7 linked regions of the Sus scrofa genome follow. The protein of the gene in region 4 purifies or fractionates together with the protein of the main gene of each other region. This does not show direct contact. Links are inferred from orthologs where the notes say so. Each region holds a gene or a part of one and is shown on either strand. Other genes may lie near its edges.

Region 1 (4,187 bases), on a different chromosome or scaffold from region 4:
CAACTAGAAATTACAAAAAAAAAAAAAAAAAAATACTTTCCTATCTAACATCACTAAAACCTACAGAATCCCAAATACTTCATAATCACTACCATATTTATCTACAGGCAATAATTTAAAATAAATGCATAAATATGCACTTAATTTTCTGAAATTCTTGTCTCTTAAAGTGAGGTACTGTTTACTGCCATGAGCTCACTACCAAAATCTCTAAAATACCTGAGTTTTAGACATTTACCAATGATACACATCAAATGTCTCTAACTGTAGTTATTGCTTCATGAAGAAAAAACAAGCAATAAAAAATTGGTTCCCATATTGGAACCTCTGTAAGCTTTTTATACATGAAAAGTTGGCAATAATTTGTTCACAAACAGTAGGGAAACTTCATAATATCTGAATTAATTAGTTGAAAGATTAAGTTTATCACTTTTGAAAACTCCCAGTACCTTTAACAAACAGGGCCATCAAGTGCGCATTTTCTACAAACACCTTGGAAGTACTCCAGATTTGTGAATTTAATCTAAAAAACCCACAGAATACTAAGAAAAATATCCAAAATTTGAAGCCATTTTAAAATATTTTTATGACCATTTTTTAAACTTATTTTCAAACCACTGTCAAATTTTAAACAAAACTTTGAAAAATATTTACAGTTTGACAACAGTATAAAACCTAAAATTCATTAAGTTAATCCAGTGCTAAACTAATAAAATAAATAAACCTCAAAGTAAATTTTGCCTTGTTGAGGGGAAAAAGGAATCAAAGACAACTACAAAGGTGAACATCTTTTAAAACATGTTGTCTGCATCTATACATACTATGCTCCCTCAAGAAAAAAAATCAAGAGCTATATCTAACAACAGGCATTTAAATAGGTATTTTTGAGGACTATAATACTTCTTTCAAGTAAAATTTCCTAACACAGAGAAAGGAACACTTTCGCAAAGTGATAATTCTCTATAAAAGACTTGCTCTATTAAGGCTTTGTTGCTCTGAAGCCAAGTATAAACCATATAAGGAAACCGAAGTTCAATGCCATTTATTTTGTTCCCCTCTTTCAGATGCCCAAGAATAACCTCTTTCGTTGCCTAATTTTAAGTTCTAAAATCATAAAGTAGATCACTTACATACTTTAAATTATTTGATAAAGCTACTTTCACTTAATAGGAATTACTTGATGGTTCACAAAATCTTACCAACAATTTAAAAAACTACAAAATTGTTTTTAAAAAGGAGCTCCAGAGACTAAGCTCCAAGAAAAAAAAAAATCAAAACAATATATAGTAATAGTTAAAAGACCCCCTTTTTGAAACATACTTAATTTGAAGTAACAAAGAAAAAGTTGTGAAATTATTTGAACCTACTGTTTAAAACCTACCTTGTCTCTTTTTGGAACTAAAGAAAGCCAACCATTTTTCTTGTGGTGGCAAGGGCAAATAAATATTAATTTACATTTAAGATATATCTACAAACAAAATACCACGTTTATTTGACATTTATTCAAGAGCAGAGTTTATCTTTTACCTCCCTTTACCAAAAAAGCACGGGGGGGGGGGAACCAAACTTAAAAAGACACTCATTAAAAACACCACAGAAGAAACCGTCTGTGTCTGCAGCAACCAAAACTAGTTTGATCTATAAAGACTACCGACTGGTTCAGAAGTGTTTATATTTATAACTGACTGGTGGAATGTCACCGTGCTTCACTTAATCCCTGCCCCCACAGCAGATACTCATCACTTATTAGGTGGCAGACCCGGTCAAAACATTTGGGCCAACAACAACAAAAAAATGTAAATAATGTGCTAACCAAAAAGCACAGCTATTTATCACAATCACTGTGATGCCCATGAACACTGTTTTAAGCGTTTTACTTCCTTTCCTATACATTCAGTTCCGAATTGCACAGAAGTCCTAACAAATCAAACCACTTACAGGCATTCATGTTTGCTTTTTAATCATCACTCTTTAGCCGTAACACTTTTTCTCCCTACTAGGTCAGTTACAAGAAAAATCTTGTAGACAGTAGCTTGTAGACAACACCAAACAAGTATTATAAAGTTATAAATGTCCGAAAAGAACAAGTTACTGAAGACATATATATTACCCACCTGAAAAAACGACTAAGAACGGCAAAGAGTTTTTTGTTTATAAAACCCAATGAAACACAGTCATAAGAGTTGGAACTAAATAACTCCATATACATTTAAATGCAAAAGCAAAATAATCGGTAACAGTATAAACAAATACTGTGGCAGCCATCTCAACAGCAGCCGATTGCTCGCCGCAGTGACCTAACTTTCATCCAAAACAAAAGTTGTCAGGTTCAGCAACTTAATAAATCAAAAACATACATTGTATATGTTCCGGGAAACTAAGATTTCTGGACCTTCTGCTGAACAAAGGCATTCTTTCCTCGGAATTGCTTAAAACTTTTCGTCCCACCGCATTCTTACAACCTCTTCTAAAATGACCAGGGTCCAGATGGTAGAAAGGAGAATAAAATCAGTTCTACTGCTTTGCACCTAAATCACTACCCCGTCCGACAGGAGAGAGGGAGAATTTAGGGCAACTTGAGAAAAAGTGGAAAACACTAAAGTTTCCTCTCTTTCCTGGCCGGGGAGCTTTGTGACTCGCAGACACTTTGGGTGAAAATTACCTTTCGGTCGGGCAGTGTCTCAGGACAGCTTTTTCAAGGCTTCGCCTGACATGATTTCCTCCCCTTCATTAGTCACTTCGGATCCAGCCGAATTTCTCTCTCCGGTGAGAGCGGATGTGGAGTGGCCTCCCGCAGTAGGAAGAGTAGGTGGCTCCGGTGGGGGTTGGGAAGCGGGCTGGCTTCCTGGTCTCGAGTTTTGCAGGAGTTTCCCAGCCCCAACTAGGATCTCCGTCGAAAAAAAAACTTTTCACTCGTGACACCGCCCGGAATTACCGTGCGAAACTCACTTCCTGCCTTGGCGAGCAGCAGGATCCAGCTCGGTCCAGGGGAACCCGGAAAACCAGCTCCACGCGCGTCGGGCGGGGGAGGGCAGGGGGCGTCAGCCGAGAGCCTGGGACTCCGGGCGACCCGCGCGCCCCGATATCCGACGGCAGGCGAACCTGGCCCGCGGGGGCAAAGATGCCACCGGGGCGCTGGGAGAGCCTCTGCCGCGCTAGGCCGCCGCCGCCTCCTCGCCGCCACCCCCGGAGCCGGGCGGCGGGGTTATTGTCTCGGTAGCGCCTGCCGCGCCCTTCGCCCGCGCGGCCGCAGCCGCGGCCGCCCGGAGCCCGAGCCGAGGGGCCGGGCAGGCTCGATGGCGGCCCCCTCCCCCGGCCGGCCGTCGGGCTGTCCGTCCTTCCGTACGTCCCTCCCCGCCTTCCTTCCCTGCCCTCGAGCCCTCTTCTCCTCCCCCTCCTGTTTTCCCGCCACCGTCCCCTCGCTCCCCTCCTCGTTCTTCTTCCCTGGCGGCGGTGGCTCCCCCGGGAAGCGCAGGGGGTGGGGGCAGGCGGCGGCTTCGTCTCCTCACAAGCTCGCGGGGCCGCGGCAGGGGCCGAGACTGCGTCCCGCGCCGCCGCGCCACATTCACTCGAGCGAGAGACTGCGAGGGGCGGGGAGGGGAGGGGAGGGGAGGGGAGGGAGGGAGCGGAGAGAAAGGAGGAGGAAGGGGGCTGGGGCGGAGGGGAGTTACTGCCTCACAGGCCGCGGAGGCAACAGCGCCACCGCCCCGGCGGCGAGGGGGGAAGAGGCTGCGCGCGGCGGCGGCTCCGCGGCGGGGGCGGGGCGGCCTCCCGCCCGCTTCGCCCCAACCTCCAACAGCCGGGCTGGAGGCCGGCGCGAGCCAGTCACCGCGCGCGGGGGCGGTGCGGGCCGACGTCGGTGGCGGCGGGGGGCGGCGGCGGCAGCGGGGGGTGATAGTCTTGGGGGCCCGGGAGGCGGGGCCGGCGGCCGGGGGTTCGCGAGCTAGGTCCGGCGTGAGGCCAGCTCTGGCCCAGGCCCGGGAGGCCTGCGTGCTGCTCCCCAGCCGCCCAAGGTGGGGATGCGGGCGAAGTCGATCCCGGCTGCCCTGCGCCCAGCCTGGAAGAAGAGAGTCCTTGGAGTTTCCGTCGTGGCGCAGTGGTTAACGAATCCGACTAGGAACCATGAGGTTGCGGGTTCGGTCCCTGCCTTGCTCAGTGGGTTAACGATCCGGCGTTGCCGTGAGCTG
Region 2 (3,047 bases), on a different chromosome or scaffold from region 4:
TTGAGGACAAAGAAACGGAAGAACAACATTGTGGACAACGTATAAACATGGAGGACGTATGATATCAGAGCGTTAGGTGTTGAGATTTTAAATCAGTTTAAGCTACATTCAAGCAAATTCTAAGAAAAAAAGACTAAAACGAATTAGAGGGATGCCAGGGCTATTTTGAAGATGATGGGAAATCAGCAGGGAGGGTCCCCATGTTTCATTCTGGGGTCACAGCTTAGAAAATTCTGAGTTCAATTAAACTCACTTTACCCAAAACCACTGCATTGCAAATGCCCTTCTCATGTTTCCAACCAGGATAATGGAGACCTAAGGGCTGCATATACAGGAAAAATGAGATTTGAGATATTTCATATTTCAGTCTCAATAAAGAAGGCTTACTCGGCCTCAGAGTGCCCAGTTGCAAGAGTCTGGACCTGAGGGAGTCACAGAAGCGATAAACATATAAGGGGAGAAGGGACCAGGGGAAAAGGTGGAGATGATTACAACAGAAGTGGCTGGTGAGAAAACAGCCAGGTGTTTTCACATTTTATTCACTACAGTAGAGACCCTTGAGCTGCCTCATTCCCACCCCCTCCCTCCCCCCTCCACAGGGTCAGGCCTTCCCAGGAGCCCCTGCCTTGGCTGCCTGGGCCCGCTGGAACTCCTGCTGCAGCTGAGCCAGGGTCTCCCTCTGTTGCTCTGACTGGCGCTCCAGTTCCCGGAGTTGGGATTCGTATCGCTTACTGAGGAAGACAGAACACCAAAAACGGTGAGGTCTTAATGAGACTTACTGCTGAGGATGCTGAAGGCAGGAAGGAGATTGGTGGGGAACGTGAGATCCAAGGGAGGGAGGAGAAGAGGGGTTAAAAGGAAAGCGGCTGGAGGAACTGGGTGGTGGTGGTGGTGGGAACAGCTCTGGAAGCTACTCTACAAGGCTTTCTCAACACGTCTTCCACCGTGGCATGTCTGTCAGAAGGTGCTGGAACAAAGACTCACATTTCAGCTGTGATGTAGTCCAGCCTTTTCCCCACTGTGGCTCGAGCCTCTCCCAGCTCCTGTTTGACCAGCACGGGACCCAGAAGTTTAAAGACCACGTTGGATCCATCCAGCAGGGCCAGTTCCTGATGGAGGGGCAGGACATCTGTGATCAGAAACATTGCCAGGACAAGTTCCCTCCTCGCCCCACAAATCCTGTGCTCTCACCTCCTTCACGATATTATTTTCTGTTAGTTGTGCTTCTAGTTTCTGCCTCCCTGACATGGACTTACTCAAGTCTGGCGGGTGGGAGGGAAGACTTGATTAAAGACATCAGATATGCCACCCAATCCCTACCGTCCTGGTGAGAAATGGAGCGACAAGGACGGGAACACCATGGAGGTGGGGAAGGGGCACGGGTGGGATGGAGAGGGGCAGGACGCATCTTGTAAGGCTTCGGGTAGTGAGAGAACCGGGACAACCCCGTTCCCCTACCCTTCTGTAGCTGTTGATATTTCTCCACTTCTCCCTGTAGCTTCTTCTGGATCAGCTCAGCCATGGCGAGGACGAAACTCCGCGGGAAGAGGGAGAGGGGCGCTGGGTTGCACACTCTGGAAGGTACCCGAGCTCCCCTTTCCGGCCTGCGGAAATGACAGCCCTCTTGAGAAGCAGCCCCTCGGGGCACCGCAGTCTCCCCCCGTCCGAGATATCGACTCCACCCCTGCTCTAGGCGGCAGCGGGGGAAAAGAGACCCCAGAGCCCTCAACCGAACGCCTGCTCTATCTACTCACGTTCTTCTTTCAGTGTTGGTGAACCCGGAAGTAAACAGAGAATGCTGGGAAGAGACGGCGCCGGAAGCTCTCGTCTGACGCATGCCGGGAACTGTAGTTCTCACTTGTTAGACGAGTGGCGTTTTTCTAAAAGGCTGGACTCGGAACGTTCTAGGCAACATGCGGAAACGAAGCTGGAAAAAGGAACTGCACAGTCAACTTGAGTCCTGGCTCCGGACCACCTCTCTTTCATTACTCAAGCATAAACTGCCTCACGGGGGCGGGGCCAAGGTCTGCCCCCCACCTCACTGGAGAGAGCGCCCTCACCCAAGATGGCGCCTCGAGGGCTTCGAACCTGGGGCGGAGCTGATTGGATGAGGGCCGGAAGACTTCCGGGAGTTTTCAATCCGACTGTGGGACAGCTGAGAGGAGTTTGCACGTGTGTCGCGGTTCGGGTGGGCTTGATGGAGACAGCCCCCAAGCCTGGCAGTGATGTCCCGCCCAAGAAGGACAGACTTCAGGCCAAGAGAAAGGTAGAGACCTCCTTGGGTTGAAAGGAAAGTTTTTGGCTGAGGGGTTGGAGGGGCGGGGAGGAGGCAGCGGAATATCAGGGGTCCTGATCTGCCAGCAGAAACCTCGGCGATACTGGGAGGAAGAGACCGCTCCGACAGCTGCCGGAGCCTCTCCGGGTCCCCCTCGTAAACAGAAGAAGAATCGAGAGGCCCGCCCTCAGAAGCCAAAGAACGCTCCCATCCAAAAGAAGTCTCGGTTCCCCAAGAAGCCCCAGGTCCCAAAGAAATCCCAAGAATGGAGGAGTCCAGGCCCTCAGCGGAGCTTGTCTGGGGTGAGCCTGGGACCTTATACGGTGGCGAGGCAAGTCTCCTCGTGCTTTGAGGGTACGAGAGTTGGGATCAACCCGAGCCTGTTTACTAATTGCCCCATTCCTGTCCCAGGCCCAGGACCCGTTTGCAGGCCCCGCCCCTGTCCCTGTGGAGGTAGTTCGAAAGTTCCGTCGCATCGACAAATCCAAAAAGGTGAGAACCGGTCGGAGAGTGGGGAGGAGTTGCAGGCAGGGAGTGTCTGGGTGAGCTGGATGGAGGCGCGGTCAGGTGGCTCTCCTGTAACCCCCATACTCGCCCATTCCTCTCCCACCAATGATTGTAGCTGCCCCGTTCCAAGTCCAAAGCCCAAAGCCGGCTTGATGCTGCTGAAGCTGAGGAAGAGGAAATAAGCGTCAAAGCTGCTCGTTCTGAGCTGCTGCTGGCTGAGGAACCTGGGTAAGTGGACCGTAATGTGGGCCTCCCCAGCTCCTGG
Region 3 (3,500 bases), on a different chromosome or scaffold from region 4:
GAACAATTCAAGAATGAAATTAAGCTATCTATATCAATGATAAGATGGGAGTGGATGAAACAATCCAATTCAAAAGTAGAAATTATCAGACTGTATTAAAAATATGATCCTACCATACGCTGTCTATAGGAGACATACTTTATTATTATTTTAAAAAATCTTTTTTTGGCTGTGCCCATGGCATGGAGAAGTTCCCCGGCCAAGGACCAAACCCACACCACAGCGGCAACCTGAGCCACAGCAGTGACAATGCCCGCTGAGCCGTCAAGGAACTCCAGAAAACATACTTTTGATTTAAAGACACAAATAGATTGAAAGCAAAAGGACAGGAGTTCCCGTCATGGCTCAGTGGTTAACGAATCCGACTAGGAACCATTAGGTTGCAGGTTCAATCCCTGGCCTTGTTCAGTGGGTTAAGGATCCGGTGTTGCCATGAGCTGTGGTTTAGGTCTCAGACATGGCTTGGATCTGGTATTGCTGTGGCTATGGCACAGGCTAGTTGCTACAGCTCTGATCAGATCCCTAGCCTGGGAACCTCCATATGCCACAGGAGTAGCCCAAGAAAAGGCAAAAAGACAAAAAAAAAAAAAAAAAAAAGAAAGTAAAAGGACAGAAAAAGATACATGAGCCATCACAGAAAGCTAGAGGAGCTACTAATCTAACAGTGACATTATATACATACAGTCAAAACATCTGATAGAAATCTCCAGTACTAGTTCATTTAAATGGAATCTAGTTATTTGCAATATAAGCTAAATTTAAAATATACATTTGGAGATCACTAGGAAAAATAAGTCTAAACTTATCAGATCCCCTAGTTCTGACTCTTTCACTTTCACATACCATAAAACCAAATCCTCTTTTCCCCTTTTCAAAGTTTAATTAATCGAGTTGCTAATGAATTATTTTCTGAAGTTTTCAACATTCTTTTTTTTTGTCAAGCAATTAAGCTCTAATTTCTTAGATTCTATAGGGAAGGCAGTATGTGAGATTTTATGATGACTTGGAGATGGTAAAATGCCTTGAATCTGATATTACTATTATGTCACAGAAAAGTATAGAAATTCTGTTTAGGATATTAAAACAATTCCTTATCAGCTTCTGATTTGCAAGTAAACGAGTCAACTACACAGGACTCACTCTCTCAGGTCTGCTCTCTCGGCCAGGTGGTTTCAAAATATCATCTACATTCTTAGATTCAGGTTTCTTCTCAACCCGTGGAGCTGGAGGTGGCTGGTGGCTTAGTGAAGGAGCTGGCAGGGGCATTCGCTCCTCTGGGTAAGTTCTTCGTTCTCCTGGGATTCCAGCAGTTGAACAATTACTATTTATGTAGTAACTATTTAAAATTTTAACCCATTCTACTCCTCCTAATATAATTTATGATGATTTGAGGGCTACTTTTATCCTTAATTAAAGATAGTTTAAGATAACATAAATCTACTGAAATCAAGAAAATGAAAAGATTTAGGTATGATTTCACACAAAAAGAATATTCTGAAAAGTATTGAATTCATCCTCATTTGTATTAAAAGTTAAGAAAAAAAGTTAAACAATAGAATATAGAAAAATGATATATCCTCTTAAATAGTCCCAAGTATGATTCAGAGTCCACCTGTATGTAACTTCTGCTTTACAGTTTTGAGAATGAGTCACCAGCTTAGGAAAGCTTGTTCATATAGACAGGTATAAATATATAGTTTAAGTGTAATTTATAGCAATGAAAAACTAAAAGCGACCTCAACAAAAAAAAGTCTTTTATCTTATCCACTTGATGGACTATCATAGTCATTAATATAATAGGTTTCCATATGGAGAAAAGTAATAGTACAATACCAATAGGGAACAGGGATGATAAAGAAACTATACTTTGGTTATAACTTCATTAATATGTATGTGAAGAGAGAATGACAGGAAATATACAAAATTATAATAATTGTGGTATGGTAGCTATGTAGTAGGTTTATAAGTGATTTTGTTTCTATCTTCCAAAAGGTCTTTAATAATATTTAAAAAAGCAGTTTATGTTTTATTTCATCAATTACATGGCTATTTTTGGTGATAATGTTGCCAACTCTGAGAAATCTTTAAGTGCATTTTACTCTGAAAGTTTAAATCCACAGGCAAAATGGAAAGTATCTCCTGTTGTTCACAGTTTTCAGCATCCTTATAGTTAACAAGGCACCAATCTACCTCCAAACATGGACGGTCCTTCATAGGCTGGTCGGTCAGACTTCCGATCATAGGATGGCCTATCAAATCCCCCTCTTCTGGATGAGGAATGTTCTTTTTTGTCTCGATACGACTGAGTCCTAGAAGGTTTAACAGAAGTGCTTTGGTTAATAAAAAATACACGGATATCTCTTATAATGCAATAGCATTACCTGTCCAGTTTTCTCTACATGTAGTTACTATACATAGTCAATATTTACATTTTTATTTTTCTTTCCCGTTTAGATCTGCCTTTCATATACAAATCCAAAAAGCTCACACAACTGCAAAAATAAATTGTCTACTAATTAAGCAATGACTACAACTTTATGCTGACAATACTCTTTCCTTTCCTTTCTGGCTATCTCCATCTCCCATTTAATTCTCTGGATTTCAAGCTCACAAAACTCAAGTTTTCTAGTTTCCTGAAAATTAGTATAGAACTACTCTTCCCTCTCCAAATTATACACACACGTATAAAAAGAATCTATCATTTACTAAATTCCCTGCAGATACACTGACTTTTGCTGAACTGTAGTACATGGTAATTTGCACACCCAGCAAAGGTATTTTTCATAGCATACCTATCATCTCGCGGTCGGCGTTCTCTGTCAAATCGATCCCGGTCATAGTCAATAACACCACGATCCCGGTCTCGATCTCTATGTGTCTCCCGATCCCTTTTGAAATCCCGATGATCTGTCATGACATTACTTTGACGATCAAAATAAGGCTCACGATCTCTGTCTCTATCATAGCGATCACGTTGGCCCGCATGCTCTATAAAAACGATTAGTATAAAATAAGAACTATATAGCTTTTTTTCTGAAATAAAAGCAGAAAAGTACAAATCTAAATTTAGAACTAGTATAAACTGCTGCCCTAAATCCAATTTATGAATCTTGCAGCTATACTAAAGGGAGGCGCAGACAATACTACCAAAAGGAAAAGTCATATGACAATTAGGCCCTAATAGGTTTAGAAATACTGATCTCTTTGGGACTCTAACCTGTTTCAAAAGTTGATCTTTCAGGTAGTGGCTCTGGACGCAGAGTTATTCTTTCTCCATAGGGTATCTGCTCAACTTTATTAGTGGATATGTCTGATAAAATCAGGGATAAAACACTGTTAACAGTAACGCTTAAGGAAGCCAAAGCTTAAGCTAACAATTCCTTTAGAATCCCAGATAGAAATCTGCCACCTTGACTCACCTCGGCCATGGCCATAATCAACAGTCTGCTGCACTGGTGGTGGTTTGGACATTGGTGGCATACCCATAGGCATCGGGCCAG
Region 4 (4,114 bases):
GGCTTTGGCGGAGTTGCGGGGTGGGGTGATGGGCCGGCCTCCAGGATTCAGGCCACTGAACTGCCCATATTTCCCCTTGTTCTTGTCGGCGGGCTTGAGGATCTACAAGAAACAAGCCAGTCAGGTTCATGGGGCCAGGCCAAAGGCCCCCGGCCCCTTCCGGCCCCTTCCGGCCCCCTGCCCACCTGGAAGGAGCACATGAGCGTCTCGTCCACGCTCATCATGGCGCCTGCGTTGTCAAACTCGCCGCAGTAGTTAGGAGCTGAGAAGAGTGTCACCAGCTGCCTCTTGGCAAAGAACTCGTAGCCATCTTCTACCACCTGGGTGAGGGTGGGGGCAGTTAGTTCAGCAGGTGCCGGCTGCCCCGCCCCAGCCCAGCCCAGCCCAGCGCCGCCAGCCCACCTGGTGTGCCCGGCAGATGAGATCCAAGTCGTGCTTGTGCAGGAACTTGGCCACCACCTCCGCTCCAAAGGTAAAGGAGACGCCGCGGTCATTCTCGCCCCAGCCCTGCACGTCCTTGTCGGGGTCAGACCACAGCAGGTCACACAGTAAGCCCTGGTCAGGCACGTCTGTGGGCCGCATGATACGCCGAATCTGCTCCATGGACTGCAGGTCGGGGGACAGGCCTGGGGAGCACAGGAGGTAGATCACTTCCTTGAGCCTCAAAACGAGGCCCCTGCCTCCTCCGGGAAGCCTTGCCGATCAGCCTCTGTCCCCACCCCTCCGTGGTCTCCTGGGAGCCATGACAGGCAGACCTCGCCACCTTCTGCCTCTCGTAGCCCCTGTTTCTTCAAGGAGCACAGGGCTCCTTGGAGAAAGGAGACAAACTCCACGTGTGAAGCTGTGGCCACGACCTGACAGCACAGCCTGACATGAGGGTGCGGGGGGACTTCATGGAAGAAACGACTCGGGGGAGAACTGTTGCAGCTGATGCCTTTGTCCCCAAGCCCCCCGGGATGGGGCCAGGCTCGTCCCTCCCAAGCACTCCTCCAGCGCGGGCCCCAGAGCTGCTCTCACCTCCGTGGCAGCAAAAGATCTTCTCGTCCACAATGGCAGCGATAGGCAGGCAGTTGAAGCAGTCAGTGAAGGTTTTCCACAGCTTGATGTTGTAGCGTCTCTTGCCTGCCCAGAGGAAGGAGGTGGCTCGTGAGAAGGCCTGGCTGCCCCACCTTCAGCCGGGGTCCCTGGGCCTTGCAGGGCACATCATGTGCTGTTCAGACACAGCTGGGAGGGAAGCAGAGAGGGCAAGGAAGGGAAACCCATCCCACTGCCTACCAGCTTTCCAGGAACCCCAGCATTCCAGTTCTGGAACAACCTCAGGGTTGGCACCCACCTGCAGCACATGAGCAGGGCCAGGCCAAGACCAGGTCTGTTTATCTCTGCTTCTGGCAAACAGAGTCCAGTCCAGACAGGCAGCCTAAGTGCTTAAGTAACGGATGCGCTGGAGGGGAGTGTCACTGGGCAAGGCCCTTATTAGAATACGGGCAGCCCTGCAGCCAGCACCCATTCACCAGATCCCTCCTGAGTGCCAGGACCCATGCCAGGAGGGCAGGTGGAGAGACCTGAACTGGCCTGGCCCGGCCCTGCCTTCACGGAGCTCAGTCTAGCAGGTATTTGTCAGACACTGATACCCCAGCTGCCAGGCCAACTCGAGGGTCCCTCTGAATGGCCAGGAGAGCCCTTTAGGACCCGGGCAGCCCCAGACACCCATGGCACTTACACTCATCGTAGAAGCCATAGATGCGGTTGATGCTGGCACACTCGTGGTTCCCACGGAGCAGGAAGAAGTTCTCCGGGTACTTGATCTTATAGGCCAGCAGCAGGCAGATGGTCTCCAAAGACTGCTTGCCCCGGTCCACGTAGTCCCCCAGGAACAGGTAGTTGCTCTCTGGAGGGAAGCCGCCGTACTCGAACAGCCGCAGAAGGTCATAGTACTGGCCGTGGATGTCACCTGGGACCCAGGGAACCAGGTCAGGTCTAGGTTCAGTCTAAACCTGAACCCAGGGATAAGGCTGGGATCCAGGGACTTTAGAGGGGCCAAAACCACTTCCAGGAAGCAAAGGGGCTGGGCAGGGGGCTCACCGCAGATCTTGAGGGGTGCCTCCAGCTCCAGAAGGATGGGCTGGCTCAGGAAAATCTCCCGGGATTTGAGGCACAGACCACGGATCTCGTTCTCTGTCAGCTGTACATTCTTTCCAGGCCGCGAGCCCTGCACTGAGGGTGGAAGGAGCGTCAGGACCCTGGTCCCTGAGACTAGGAGAGGGTGGGTGACACACAGGCCCTCATGAGCACTTCTGGGGCGCCTGGGCCCCTCCTTGCCCAGAGGCAGCTGTTGCTGCTGAGCCTCCTGGGACCGGACCCCAACTACCCTCAAGGCACTTGGGAGGGGACTGCTGTGCGCAGGGGCCCTACCACCCAAAGCCTGATAGCGCAGGACCCCTTCCCGGGTGGCTAGGCTTCTCGGGTTTCTCCCTCACCCCAAGAGCCCAGGCCGACCCATGCGCCCCGGCCCTGTTCCAGCGCGGGGAACAACCCCAGACCTCCAGGCGCGCCGCGATTTGGCGGGGAGAGCCACGGCCACGGGACCTCGCGGCCCGTCCCCGCCCAGTCTAAGCTGGCCCTGGGAGGGGCAGGTCCACCCGCGCGCCACTTCCGGGCCGGGAAGGGGGCCAGGGCGCGGCGGGCGCCCACCTCCCCCGCCCCGGCCAACCTTCCAGCAGGCGCCCGATGATAGAGTCCAGGTTGAGCTTCTCGCTGTCGGACATGGCGGCGCCGCCGCTCTGGCCCAGCAGCTCCGGGCCCGCTCCTGCCTCCCACCCTCCCGCTGCCTCCTTCCGGCCTGGCTCTCCTTCCGCCCGGCCCGGCCCGGCCCGCCCCGGCCCGCCGCCCCGCCTCCTCGGCCGCCCGCTCCGCCCCTCGTCGCCCCGCCCCGCCCCGCCCCGTCCGCTGCCCCAGCGCTCTAGCGCCTCCGCCGGACGCCGGGCGCAGAGGCCCAAGCGGCCCGGGGGGCGGGGCCTCAGTCACGGGGCGGGACTCGGACGGAACGCCCATCTCTGGGGCGGAGCCTCTTGGTGGGCGGGGCTTCGAGGGGCGAGGTCGAGTCTAGTTCTGCCTATGAGAAGTTGGCCACCCCTTTCCAGAGAATATGGGACAGGAAGTGCTGTGGAAGTTGTTTTTCTCTTTTAAGGGCTACGCAGTCCTTCTCACCTCCGCCCTGGGCGGGAAGTTGGTGTGAGCTCATCGGTAACTCATTGGGTCTCCCCAAATACTGCCGATCAAGTCCTTGAAGTGCACAGAGATAGCAAAGGGTTGGTCCAAGACCTGGACCTAATTCAAGGGCCTCTACCTCCGGAGTCTCTGTGGCCCCCAGGTGACTGACCAGACCTAGAAACCTGTCACTAAACTCCAAGCCCATTTTGGTCCACAGTGCCTGTGATGCAAGCTGAATTAGCGGTTAATTTTTTTTTTCTTTCTCAGCTGCACGTGGAAGTTCCTGGGCCAGGGACTGAATCCAGGCTGGAGCTGCGACCTATGCCACAGATGCAGCAATGCTGAACCAGCGCCTCTACAGAGACAAGCCATACCACTAATCCGCTGCACCACAGAAAGAACTCCTATCTATGTATTTATTTATTTATTGTCTTTTTGTCCTTTTTAGGACCACACCCACGGCATATGGAGGTTCCCAGGCCAGGAGTCCAATCAGAGCTACAGCTGCCAGCCTACACCACAGCCATAGCAACACCAGATCCTTAACCCACTGAGCGAGGCCAGGGATCAAACCTGAAACTCCATGGTTCCTAGTCCGATTCGTTTCCACTGTACCACGATGGGGAACTCCCTGTTTTTTTTTTTTTTTTTTTATGTTTTATCATTGCCTTTTGAGTAGCATAATTAAGCTACATTGTGCGCATGTGAAAAATGTTATTTCGTGAAGAGCAAACATTCAATAAACCGTAATTCTCAGAGTTCCCATTGTGGCGCAGCGGAAATGAATCCAACTAGGAATCATGAGGTTGCGGGTTTGATCCCTGGCTTTGCTCAGTGGGTTAAGGATCCGGCGCTGCCGTGAGCGGTGGTGTTGGTCACAGACACAGCTCAGATCTGGCGTTGC
Region 5 (3,500 bases), on a different chromosome or scaffold from region 4:
GTGCTGCCGGATGGAGGGCTTGGAGCTGGCGGCATCCCCCAGTTTTCTCCAGACCACCTGTGGGGAGGGGCAAGCTGGGAATGGAGGGTCCACCCTGCACCCGCCCAGGGTGTCCCCAGAGCCAGGGGCCAGGAGGGGACACTGAGGCCACATGACACCTGGAGACCCTCAGACCGGGTCTTTGCACGTGCGCCCTCCGCACCGTGCCTCCCACCCCAAGGCGACTGAGCTGGCACCTCGAGGGTGCAGACTTGGGCCCGAAGCTGTCCAGTGGGCCCTACAGACCCAGGAGGCAGCAGCGGGGGGATACCCCGCCCCAGGGGGCAGCCCCGTGAACCACCTCCCCTGCTGACTCCCACAAGGGTCCCACGAGGCAAGGCGCACTGGCCAGGTGGGTCCCAGATCCAGGCGCCACCTCCCCAGAGACCCAGAGGCAGCCCAGCTGCCAAAGGCCAAGGCAGCCACGGCCAGGAGGGTCCCGCAGAGCTGAGGGTTCCGCCTGCACCGCAGTCTGGGCACCACCTGTGTGCCAGGAGCCAGCAGAGCACAGGGGACAGGGACCAAGGGTCAGGATACACAGGGCAAACAAGACCAGGGAGCAGGGAGGAAAGGGGGGAGGGGAAGTGGGGGAGGGGAGGAGCGAGGCCCGGGCTCCCAGCCCCCCGGGTCACCTCCCAGGGGGGTTGTGGCCACACTGGGACTCGCCCGGTCACCCCGGCCCCGGCCCCAGGAGGCGCCTCACGTTGCACATCTCGCGGACAATGGCCTTCTCCTTCTCGCTCAGGTCCTCCTCGCAGCTGTCCTGGAGCTGCCGGTCCAGGTTCTCATGTACCTCCAGGACCTGCAGGGGGCGGCCCCAGGGTCAGGGGCAGAGGTCACAGGCAGGCCTCGGGCAAGGCCCCAGCTTCCCCCACCACAAGGGGCAGTGGTGGACGCCTAGCCGCGGGGCCCTGGGATCGGGGGCTGGAGAGGCCTGAGGGCCCGGTTGTCCTGTCGCCTCGGCCCAGTGACACCGTAGACACCACGCAAGGGAAGCGGCGGCCCACATTGGCACTGGGGGCAGAGCAGGTGGACAGGCGGGGTGGGGACCGCTGTTGCACTCCAAACCCGGGACCCCACTTGGGACTCAGGACAGGCTGGCACATGCACATGGGGGGGGGGTGTCCAGTTGCCACCTGCCAGGCACAGCGAGCGGGCTGCCTGCGGGGAACCACGTGCCTGTGTCCCTGCTAGGGGGGTAGGGATGGGGGCACCTCAGTGGACAGGCCCCAGGGTGCACCCCAAGGCCCTGAGCAGGAGGGGGGCAGGGAGAGCTGGGCCTGGGAGACCCGAGCTTCCATCCCGGCCATCCTGCCCCACCCCCACTCCAGGAGCACCTGTCCTCCCCACCTGCCCCAGGCCTCAGCTCCCTGGCTGCAGGGGTGACGCAGCCACCACCCCGCCTCCCAACCCCCACCCCACACTCCAGGCAGCCACGGCCACTGGACCAAAGTCCCCCAGCTGCCTGCAGAGAGGGCAAGCGGGGTCCTAGGTCACAGGGTCCTGAAGTGCCAGGGACCTGGGGGCCCCGGAGGGAGCGGGAACCGGGCAGGGCCTGGCCCTCACCTTCATCGCGTGCACCACAGCCTCGGGCTTCTGTCCTGCGGCGCTGTAGCCGGCGGAGGGCGGCGAGGACAGCTCGGGAACAGGGCAGGCGGGGCCCTGTGGGCAGAACCATGTCTTAGCTCACCCTGGCTGGCTCCCAGGTGGCAGCCACAGGTGCGACCAGCAGCTGGGAGGGATCCTTGGGTCCGTGGGGCCGGGGCCCAGGCCAGAGACCATGGGGGCCGAGGGGCAGCACCCCATCCCGCAGGCTCCTCTGCACAGCCTGGCACACGTGGAAGGTCTCTCACCTGCTTGGAAGGTCTGTCACCTCCTCTGCAGCTCACCTAGGATGATACAGACGGCCTGGGCCTGACTCCTAAGCCCCCTCCCCGTCCCCTAGGCTCCACCCCGGGCATTCCTGGGGCTTCCGGCCCTGAGCCTCCCTGTCTGGGGACTGCTGCCTCATCCTGCAGTCTAACTGGCAACTAGGTGCCCGGCTCCCACATCAGCCTGGGGGCCAGGAGACGGGGGCCGGGAGAGGAAGGGATCCAGCTTCCTGGCTCCCTGCCACCTGTGTCAGAGGCCAAGTGTCCACCCAGCTCCTCCCCAAGGGGCACTGGCCCAGGTGGCCACAGGGCAGGAGGCAGGGCTTTCGGCTGGGGCTGCAGCGGAACCGGCCCCTGAGCAAGGTCAAGAAGGGACCAAGGCCACATGAAAGAGCTCACGCCTGAGGAGCTAGATGGAGCCCCGGGGCCAGCAGGACGCGAGATGCCAGGAGTGGCCTGAGGGCAACCAGCCGGTGGTGCTGGAAGCGGAGAGAAAACACCAGGAGCGGCCCAGGGGGTACATGAGCAGGGGGAGCATCCTTGGGCCCCTTTGCAGCCCTGAGTCTCAGTTTCCTTCTCAGTCAGTGGGCCCTGAAGGCCCCTCCAGTGATCAGGCCAATGAGGCCACTGCCCTGGGAGCCTGCCCAGCTGGGCCACCCTGCACAGGGACCCTCGGTGCCTGGCATCTTTTGCTGCCAGCGGCCAACCTCTGCACTCTTCTCACCAGCCAGGGTGCCCTGGCCCTGCTCCTGGGCCCTCGCAGGCTCAGCCTGCTCTGGCTCCACACAGAGGCCTGCAGCCCTGGGGTCCGGGAGAGCTGGCTTGGGCAAGGCTCTGGGGGCAGGCCCGGTCCACTCCGCCCCTCAGGTCCCTGTGTCCCGGGTGTGCACAGAGACCTGGGCTGCTGTCTTCCTGACTCTGGCCCAGGCCACCTGATCTCTGGTGCCCAGGCCGGTGTGTCATGTCGGGGAACCAAACTGGGTTCTGGGGGGTCAGGCCACATACAGGTGTGCGCCCTATGGCAGAAGGCTGCCCTCCCCGCACAGGCCAGCAGGGGGCGACATCCACACACACAGAGCCCAGGAAGGCGGCTGGCCCAGGCACCTCTGGCCTCAGGTCCTGTCTGCACCCGGCGCTCCCAGCACCGCCTGCTCTGTAAGGAGGGCTGATTCCTGCAGCAAAGGCAGGCAGGAACTGCACGTGGCCGGGGTAGATGGTGCAACCGTTTGCTGGCCGGCCTCACTGGGTGGACGGAGCAAATGAGCGTGGTCTCAGGACCCTATAAGGGAAGCCACCACTGGACACTGGCCAAGACTGTACCCTTAGGGCCTTTTCCAAACCCAGCTCAGCCCTGCAGGCATCCCGTGGTGGGGGTGGCAGAGCACAGCCTGCAAAGCACCCGCCAGGAGAAGAGCGGCCTAAGGGGGCAGGTTACGACCCTAGGCGCGGACGCCATCTCTCTATGGGCCCATTTTACAGATGAGGACGGGGACACTGCGCAACTCGCCCAAGGCCAACCAGCTAGTAAAGAAGGGCGCTGGGAGTTCCCGTCGTGGCACAGTGGTTTACGAATCCGACTAGGAACCATGA
Region 6 (3,500 bases), about 27 Mb from region 4:
GAAATCTGTCTCTATGCCATGCTGTCTGTTTACATGTTTCAGATTTTAACTTAGAATACAAAATACATTTTGCTTTTGTAATCTTCATGTGATTTCAGCAATTTCCCTTTTAAGAAAGACTTTCCAAAAAATTTTAACATACTTCATACTAAACCCAAATGCAGCATTTTAAAGAATTTAACAGTAATTTTCCTAAAGTTTTTGAGTCTGGTTTGAACATAAATTAAATGATCATATTTTAACTTTTAAAAAAGGAAGTCATTTTTATAAACACAGGAGTTTTCAAATATGCTATATTCTAGTAAGCAAACTGGCATATAGTAGAAGTAAATTTTTTTGCTTTTTAGGGCCACACCCTCGGCATCTGGAGGGTCCCAGGCTACAGGTCCAGTCAGAGCTATGGCTGCTGGCCTATGCCATAGCCATACCAACGCAGGATCTGAGCTGCGTCTGTGACCTACACCACAGCTCACGGCAATGCCAGATCCTTAACCTACTGAGCGAGGCTAGGGATCAAACCCACAACCTCATGGTTCCTAGTTGGATTTGTTTCTGCCATGCCAGAAGTAAAATATTTTTAAATGCCCCAAAGGCATCTAGCAAACATTATCTTATTACGTGATTTAATTACATTTTATATCTTAAACTTGTCTTCCTAAGAAAAATCAACACTCTTTAATATTTAATTTTATAATATGTATATAAAATACTAACCAGACCAGAATTAAATTTTTCTAAAATGTGTTTTTTGTTTTCATACCAATTCATCATGTTTGCTGTATAGTGATCATTAAATGGTCATTTAAAAATCAAATTCAAAATAAAAGGTGAGAAAGTACCATAAAATATTAACAATATGGTATTCAATACTTTTCATTCAATAAATTCTGATCCTAAAACTAGAAGTTAAAATAAAACAAACATAAAAACTCCATAGCTTTATTTATATACTAGGCTCTCTGAGGTCAATGCTCTGTATATAAACATTATTGCTATATTCTTAAAATCTGATTTGTAAGAGACCTTTAAAAAAAAAAATTCTAGGAGTTCCCATCATGGCACAGTGGCATGAACCCAACTAGTATCCATGAGGATGCAGGTTCAATCCCTGGCCTTTCTCAGTGGGTTAAGGATCCGGCGTTGCAGTGATCTGTGGTGTAGGTCGCAGATGCTGCTTGGATCCAGAGGCCCTAAAAAAGACAAAAGAAAAAAAAAATTCTATGGCTGCACCCATGGCATATGGAGGTTCCTGGGCCAGGGACTGAATCCAAGCCCCAGCTGTGACTTACACTGCAGCTGCGGCACCATCAGATCTTTAACCCACTGTGGTGGGCTGGGGATTGAACCCATGTCTCAGCAGTTACCCAAGCTGACGCACTCATTCTTAACCCACTGTGTCACAGCAGGAACTCTTGTAAAAGACATTTAAAACAAAATTATCTTACATAATATCTGTCTAGGAATTATACGTATTTCAATATTTCAAAATATTTAAACAAATAAACATATATTACCTACCTTTGTATCTGCTAAGGCATTGATAACATTCCCAAGAGCTAAAAGTGATCGATTAATATTCGTGCCTTCTATAAACCGGGTCCCTTTAGCACTAGTAGAACTGGCTCTCTCAGACCCTGCTAGATCAATGAGCGACATCTTGGCAATTCGGACATTTTGATTGATACTTGCTGTTTTATCTTGTTGTCTCAAATAAATCTTTTTGAAATTATGGAAGATTAGGGAAAATAAGGATTAGATTTCACAAAATTAAAAGGGAAACATACACTTTATTTTTTAAAAAGCAGGAAACCAATTATTTTCATTTAAAGACAAACTGAACAAGGTATAACCTGACTGGCTAATATCTAAGAGTACCAGAAGTAATTACCAAAGTTGAGAAAAATTTGAAAATGAAAAGGATTCCTGTAGGTGTATAAGAGGGCGAATAACTCCTGGCTCTGGTCAAAATGACGGCCACTTACATTCTAGTAACTCTTATACTGTAGGGTCTACGACATTTTGGGGAAATCTCTGTGTTCCAGATAAGCATTTTTCTCAAAATTACTGATAAATAGTCAGTGGTAAGAATAGAAAAGATTAATAAAATTCTGTGGGACTGATTAATAAAATTTTATGGGAAAATTTTCTGAATGACTTATTGCCTCAGATTTCAATTCCTTAAACTATAACAATTTCTTGCTATGAGTTTCACATAGCATAATCCAGAATAAAGCTGTATTATCAATTGTATTTCAACAGAACCAGGAACTATAAATAATAACTACTAACCTATGCTTTAGCCTTTTCTAGAACTGTATTCCTAAAAAGCACTTTATCACTGAATCACATATTTCCTTAAGGAATCCAACTATTTACATGGTCACCATGGTGAAATTTCTTTAAAAAGTGCATCAGTATCCCCCCCCACCTCAATTTACTGTCTATAAATCTAGATCTATAAAGAGAAAGTTTGTTCTGAATATAAGATTATCTTTTGGAAAGATACTTTAAAAAATAGAAAAGAAAACCTCTAACAATCACTTTACTATCTTTTACTTTCACAATGGCAAAATTTTACATTTCTGACTTACAAAAATCTCATTTCTAAATATTCTTGATACAATGTTCTCAAAGCTGCAAAGTAAAGGAAGTGCTGAGAAATAAAGTTGACAGATAAAGAGATTTTGTTTTGTATTTGTGAAAATTATCATCCGAACATATGGCTTCATTTATTTTAAATTCAATTTTAAGAGTGATAGTCTAGTGACCTGTTACCTGGAAAACAGCATGAGAACGAGAAGATGTAGCATTCATATCAGTGGGATGCTGTGTCCTGTTTCTGTTTCCATTATCCAACAACTGCAAAATTTCCTCTGAGGATTTAGGCTAAAGAAGTTTTAAAGTAAAAGAAAAATAAATAAATGAGCTATTGATCTTTAAATTTTTAAATAAATTATCAACAAATAAGAAGCCTTTTAAGGATAAAATAAAGGGTAAGAAAATACTTCTTATAATTAAATTCCATTAAGTATTGACTGTGTATCATTTGCTTAGTACTTTGGTGCTATATGAAAAACAAAAGATTAATCTCTCTGAGGAGATAAACTGTAAATATATTAAATAGAATAATATACTATATTAAATGTTCAAGTGGATTTTAAAAAGAAAAGCCCATTCAACTATTTCAAAGGAAAATAAGACTGAAGATATGCCCTGATTATTTTAATTCTACGCTTATTTTAAAATATCTAAATGGCTAAATAACTTGCTATCTGAACAGCAAAAAAGAAGTTTATAAACATACCTGATGTAAAGTCAACCCTTGAACGACTACCCCTTTTTGGGCATCTTCCCGGACAGCAAGTGGCCCTGAATTTACTAAGAGGTCACGAATCTGTTCATTATAGACCTTGAAATAAAAAGAACTAATGTTGAAACAACAGTGATAGGCACACACACACATGCACACATTGCTGATTAAAGGTTATATCAGAATTTTA
Region 7 (3,500 bases), on a different chromosome or scaffold from region 4:
TTTTCATGTGAGCTTATGACTTACCAATGAAAGTAAGACAGTAATACCTGCACTATCCTAGGAAGCTCTATTAGCAAGAGAGTCAATAGTTATATCTGCTGCATATTCTTGTGCTAAAATATATTTATTTTAAAAAATAACACCCAGGGAGTTCCCGTTGTGGTGCAGTGGTTAGCGAATTCCAACTAGGAACCATGAGGTTGTGGGTTCAGTCCCTGCCCTTGCTCAGTGGGTTGAGGATCCGGAGTTGCCGTGGGCTGTAGTGTGGGTTGCGGAGGTGGCTCGGATCCCACCTTGCTGTGGCTCTGGGGTAGGCCGGCAGCTACAGCTTCGATTCAACCTCTGACCTCTGGGGTAGGCCGGCAGCTACAGCTTCGATTCGACCTCTGACCTGGGAACCTCCATGTGCTGCGGGAGCGGCCCCAGAAAAGCCAAAAAACCAAAATAAATAAATAAATAAATAAATAACACCCAGGAGTTCCACTGTGGTTCAGCGGAGTTAAGAATCCAGCATCCCTGCAGTGGCCTGGGTCACTGCTGTGGTGCGAGTTTGATCCCTGGTCCAGGAACTGCCACATGCCACGGGCACACCCAAAAACAAAACAAAACAAACCAAACCACTCAGACTGCTCTCTCTCCCAAGTTCTTTGAAAGTATATGACCAAACAGGTAAAAACGAATGCATCCTAATAAATGCTAACTTAACTTTTAAGTAGTTAAAGCATAGGGAAGGAAAATCGTTCCATTCTTGTTATACTATGACTTTAAGACAGATAAATATGTCAAAGTAGTTTAATTACAAAGTAATAGATTCTAAGTTAGAATCAAGAAAGGTCACAATAGAAAACATAAGGTAGGGAAGATAGTTCTTCCAAAAAATTACTGCATACTTTAAATGATTTAAGAGATTTTCTTCAAAAGTAATGAGAGGAATTTCAGTTCATTCAACTCATTTAAAAATGAGGAAATAACTCTATGTAAAACATGAAAATTAAAAGCAACTGGCACAATTGTGATTTTGCTCATTCAAAACAGGTTTATCTTGATTTACTCAACAGATGTGTTCCTAAAAAGCTGTGCTCAGATGTTAGCTAAAACATAAAAAAAAGGAAAAAAAATTTAATGAATTGGAGGAAAAAATTAAAACATACAAAAATACAGTGTATCATTCTGTAATGCCAAATATCATCTTAAAATGTAAACAATATCTAATTTTTCAGTGTTACATTTGAGCTTTTTTAGCTTCTTTTTTTTTTTTTTTTTTTTGCCTTTTTTAGGGCCGCACCCACGGCATATGGAGGTTCCCAGGCCAGGGGTCAAATCAGAGCTGCAGCTGCCACTTACACCATAGCTCACGACAACACCGGATCCTTAACCCACTGAGTGAGGCCAGGGATCGAACCTGTGTCCTCATGGTTCCTAGTCAGATTCATTTCTGCTGTGCCATGATGGGAACTCCCATGTGAGCATTTTTATATACTGCATCCTTCATGCTGAAGAGGAATAGCCCTTTATTTACAAATATGGGTATTAAATGCTAGCATTAAATAGCATGGATGGAAATAAATACTAATAACATCATTTGAAATATCTAAAGATAAATATGCTAGTGTCTTAAAATGGATTTTAAACATGAAATCTAAAAATAGATATTGAAAAGTAATTGTCATTCTTATAAACAGTTAAAGTTTAAAATCTGGTAAATTTGAAACATTTTAAAATTAGAATTCTTTCAGAGGAAGAATAACTAGACTATCAAAGAAATTGCTTATCTCATGTCTCAACACTGATGAAATAATCTTACCATATATGAAGGTTTCCAGCAAAATCCCCAGTAGCTAAATATCTCTGCTGTAAAGATGTTGCACCAAATGTTCCACATTTAATGGGTTTGGCCTTTTCAATCTTGAGAGAAGAGAGGGAGAGAGGATACATTATTTATGTAAGCAGCTATTTATAATCCATGATATTTATGGCTCTATTACAGGAATTAAATAGGCACACAATAAAAAAGGCAATTAAAACATTGTCTGATAAAAATTATCATGCTTTTCCTTTAGTCACTTTTATACAATTTAAAAGTTCAGGCAGGGGAGTTCCTGTCATGGCACAGTGGTTAACGAATCCGACTAGGAACCATGAGGTTGTGGGTTCAATCCCTGGCCTTGCTCAGTGGGTTAAGGATCCCACGTTGCTGTGAGCTGTGGTGTAGGTGGCAGACTCGGCTCGGATCCCGAGTTGCTGCAGCCCTAACATAGGCCAGAGGCTACAGCTCCGATTAGACCCCTAGCCTGGGAACCTCCATATGCCGAGGGAGCGGCCCTAGAAAAGGCAAAATAAATATATAAAATAATATAAAAGTTCAGGCACCTTGGAGATACTGCAAGTTGGGTTTCAGACCACCACAAGGAAGCAAACTGCAATAAAGTAAGTCACAGGAAGTCTTTAGTTTCTCAGTGCATGTAACAGTTATGTTTACACTATACTGTAGTCTGTTAAGCATGCAACAACATTACATCTGAAAAAAAAAAATACGTACCTTAATTAAAAAAACACTGTACGGCTAAACAATGCTAACCATTATCTGAACCTTCAGCAAGTCATAATATCTTTGCTGGTGGAGGGTCTTGCCTTGATGTTAATGGCTGCTGACTGATCAGGGCAGTGGTTGCTAAAGGCTTGGGTGGCTGCAGCAATTTTCTTAAAGTAAGGCAATAGTGAAGTTTGCTATTTTGACTGACTCTCACACAGGCAGCATTTTACCCACATTAGAACTTCTTTCGAAATTGGAGGCAGTCCTCCCTAGCCCTGTTTTATCAACTAAATTTATGTAATATTCTATCTAAATCCTTCACTGTCATTTCATCAATCCCACAGCATCTTCACCAGGAGTAGATTCTATCTCAAGAAACCACTTTCTTTTTTTGTTTTTACAGCTGCTCCTGTGGCATATATAAGTTTCCAGGCAAGAGGTCTAATCGGAGCTGCAGCTGTGGCCTACACCACAGCTACGGCAATATCAAATATTTAATACACTGAGCGAGGCCAGGAATCGAACCCACATTCTCACAGGGACAATGCTGGGTTCTTAACCTGCTGGGCTACAATGGGAACTCCCAGAACCACTTTCTTATTAATGTTCTATCATGAGATGTCAGCAATTCCGTCACATCTTTAGGCTCCAATTCTAATTCTAGCTCTCTTGTTATTTCCACAACTGTAGTTACTTCCCCCACTAAAGTCCTGAACCTCTCAAACTCATTCATGAGGGTTAGAAGTAACTTCTTCCGAACTCCTGTTTATGTTGATATTTTGACCTCCTTCCATGAATCATGAATGTTCTTAACAGCATCTAGAATCCTTTCCAGAAGGTTTTCAATTGACTTTGTCCAGATCCATCAGAGGAATCACTACCTATGGCAGCTACAGCCTTATAAGATGTATTGCTTAAAAGTTGAAATTACTCCTTGCTCCATGGGCTGCAGAATGGATGCTATGTT

The links.
Region 1: the proteins of PPP1CA (region 4) and ERBIN purify together in Homo sapiens (affinity purification with mass spectrometry; 3 studies listed by BioGRID and IntAct, counting the BioPlex papers as one, with this or other methods). This does not show direct contact. The link is inferred for Sus scrofa from reciprocal best matches to the Homo sapiens genes PPP1CA and ERBIN.
Region 2: the proteins of PPP1CA (region 4) and PFDN6 purify together in Homo sapiens (affinity purification with mass spectrometry; 3 studies listed by BioGRID and IntAct, with this or other methods). This does not show direct contact. The link is inferred for Sus scrofa from reciprocal best matches to the Homo sapiens genes PPP1CA and PFDN6.
Region 3: the proteins of PPP1CA (region 4) and YLPM1 purify together in Homo sapiens (affinity purification with mass spectrometry; 3 studies listed by BioGRID and IntAct, counting the BioPlex papers as one, with this or other methods). This does not show direct contact. The link is inferred for Sus scrofa from reciprocal best matches to the Homo sapiens genes PPP1CA and YLPM1.
Region 5: the proteins of PPP1CA (region 4) and CCDC85C purify together in Homo sapiens (affinity purification with mass spectrometry; 4 studies listed by BioGRID and IntAct, counting the BioPlex papers as one, with this or other methods). This does not show direct contact. The link is inferred for Sus scrofa from reciprocal best matches to the Homo sapiens genes PPP1CA and CCDC85C.
Region 6: the proteins of PPP1CA (region 4) and KIF18A purify together in Homo sapiens (affinity purification with mass spectrometry; 3 studies listed by BioGRID and IntAct, counting the BioPlex papers as one, with this or other methods). This does not show direct contact. The link is inferred for Sus scrofa from reciprocal best matches to the Homo sapiens genes PPP1CA and KIF18A.
Region 7: the proteins of PPP1CA (region 4) and WDR92 purify together in Homo sapiens (affinity purification with mass spectrometry; 6 studies listed by BioGRID and IntAct, counting the BioPlex papers as one, with this or other methods). This does not show direct contact. The link is inferred for Sus scrofa from reciprocal best matches to the Homo sapiens genes PPP1CA and DNAAF10.

What each region holds. Positions count from the first base shown.
Region 1 is NC_010458.4:44,414,602-44,418,788, reverse strand, and holds the start of ERBIN (erbin), read right to left. Parts: upstream 2,801-4,187; 5' UTR 2,663-2,800; intron 1-2,662. UniProt on the Homo sapiens protein: Acts as an adapter for the receptor ERBB2, in epithelia. By binding the unphosphorylated 'Tyr-1248' of receptor ERBB2, it may contribute to stabilize this unphosphorylated state.
Region 2 is NC_010449.5:29,652,399-29,655,445, reverse strand, and holds PFDN6 (prefoldin subunit 6), read right to left. Parts: upstream 1,755-3,047; intron 1,748-1,754; exon of another isoform or gene 1,605-1,747; coding exon of another isoform or gene 1,523-1,604; coding exon 1,459-1,522; intron 1,263-1,458; coding exon 1,192-1,262; intron 1,110-1,191; coding exon 985-1,109; intron 732-984; coding exon 602-731; 3' UTR 501-601; downstream 1-500. Other genes in the region: WDR46 (WD repeat-containing protein 46), read left to right, coding at 2,066-2,266, 2,362-2,577, 2,687-2,767, 2,898-3,010. UniProt on the Homo sapiens protein: Binds specifically to cytosolic chaperonin (c-CPN) and transfers target proteins to it. Binds to nascent polypeptide chain and promotes folding in an environment in which there are many competing pathways for nonnative proteins.
Region 3 is NC_010449.5:98,017,629-98,021,128, reverse strand, and holds part of YLPM1 (YLP motif-containing protein 1), read right to left. Parts: coding exon 3,420-3,500; intron 3,311-3,419; coding exon 3,218-3,310; intron 2,989-3,217; coding exon 2,793-2,988; intron 2,310-2,792; coding exon 2,191-2,309; intron 1,296-2,190; coding exon 1,141-1,295; intron 1-1,140. UniProt on the Homo sapiens protein: Plays a role in the reduction of telomerase activity during differentiation of embryonic stem cells by binding to the core promoter of TERT and controlling its down-regulation.
Region 4 is NC_010444.4:5,118,888-5,123,001, reverse strand, and holds the start of PPP1CA (serine/threonine-protein phosphatase PP1-alpha catalytic subunit), read right to left. Parts: upstream 2,801-4,114; 5' UTR 2,766-2,800; coding exon 2,711-2,765; intron 2,215-2,710; coding exon 2,083-2,214; intron 1,952-2,082; coding exon 1,721-1,951; intron 1,123-1,720; coding exon 1,018-1,122; intron 627-1,017; coding exon 403-626; intron 321-402; coding exon 186-320; intron 103-185; coding exon 1-102. UniProt on the Homo sapiens protein: Protein phosphatase that associates with over 200 regulatory proteins to form highly specific holoenzymes which dephosphorylate hundreds of biological targets.
Region 5 is NC_010449.5:120,517,409-120,520,908, forward strand, and holds part of CCDC85C (coiled-coil domain-containing protein 85C), read right to left. Parts: intron 1,702-3,500; coding exon 1,606-1,701; intron 842-1,605; coding exon 743-841; intron 58-742; coding exon 1-57. UniProt on the Homo sapiens protein: May play a role in cell-cell adhesion and epithelium development through its interaction with proteins of the beta-catenin family. May play an important role in cortical development, especially in the maintenance of radial glia.
Region 6 is NC_010444.4:32,261,073-32,264,572, reverse strand, and holds part of KIF18A (kinesin-like protein KIF18A), read right to left. Parts: intron 3,410-3,500; coding exon 3,305-3,409; intron 2,887-3,304; coding exon 2,776-2,886; intron 1,717-2,775; coding exon 1,519-1,716; intron 1-1,518.
Region 7 is NC_010445.4:74,091,633-74,095,132, reverse strand, and holds part of WDR92 (WD repeat-containing protein 92), read right to left. Parts: intron 1,906-3,500; coding exon 1,805-1,905; intron 1-1,804. UniProt on the Homo sapiens protein: Key assembly factor specifically required for the stability of axonemal dynein heavy chains in cytoplasm.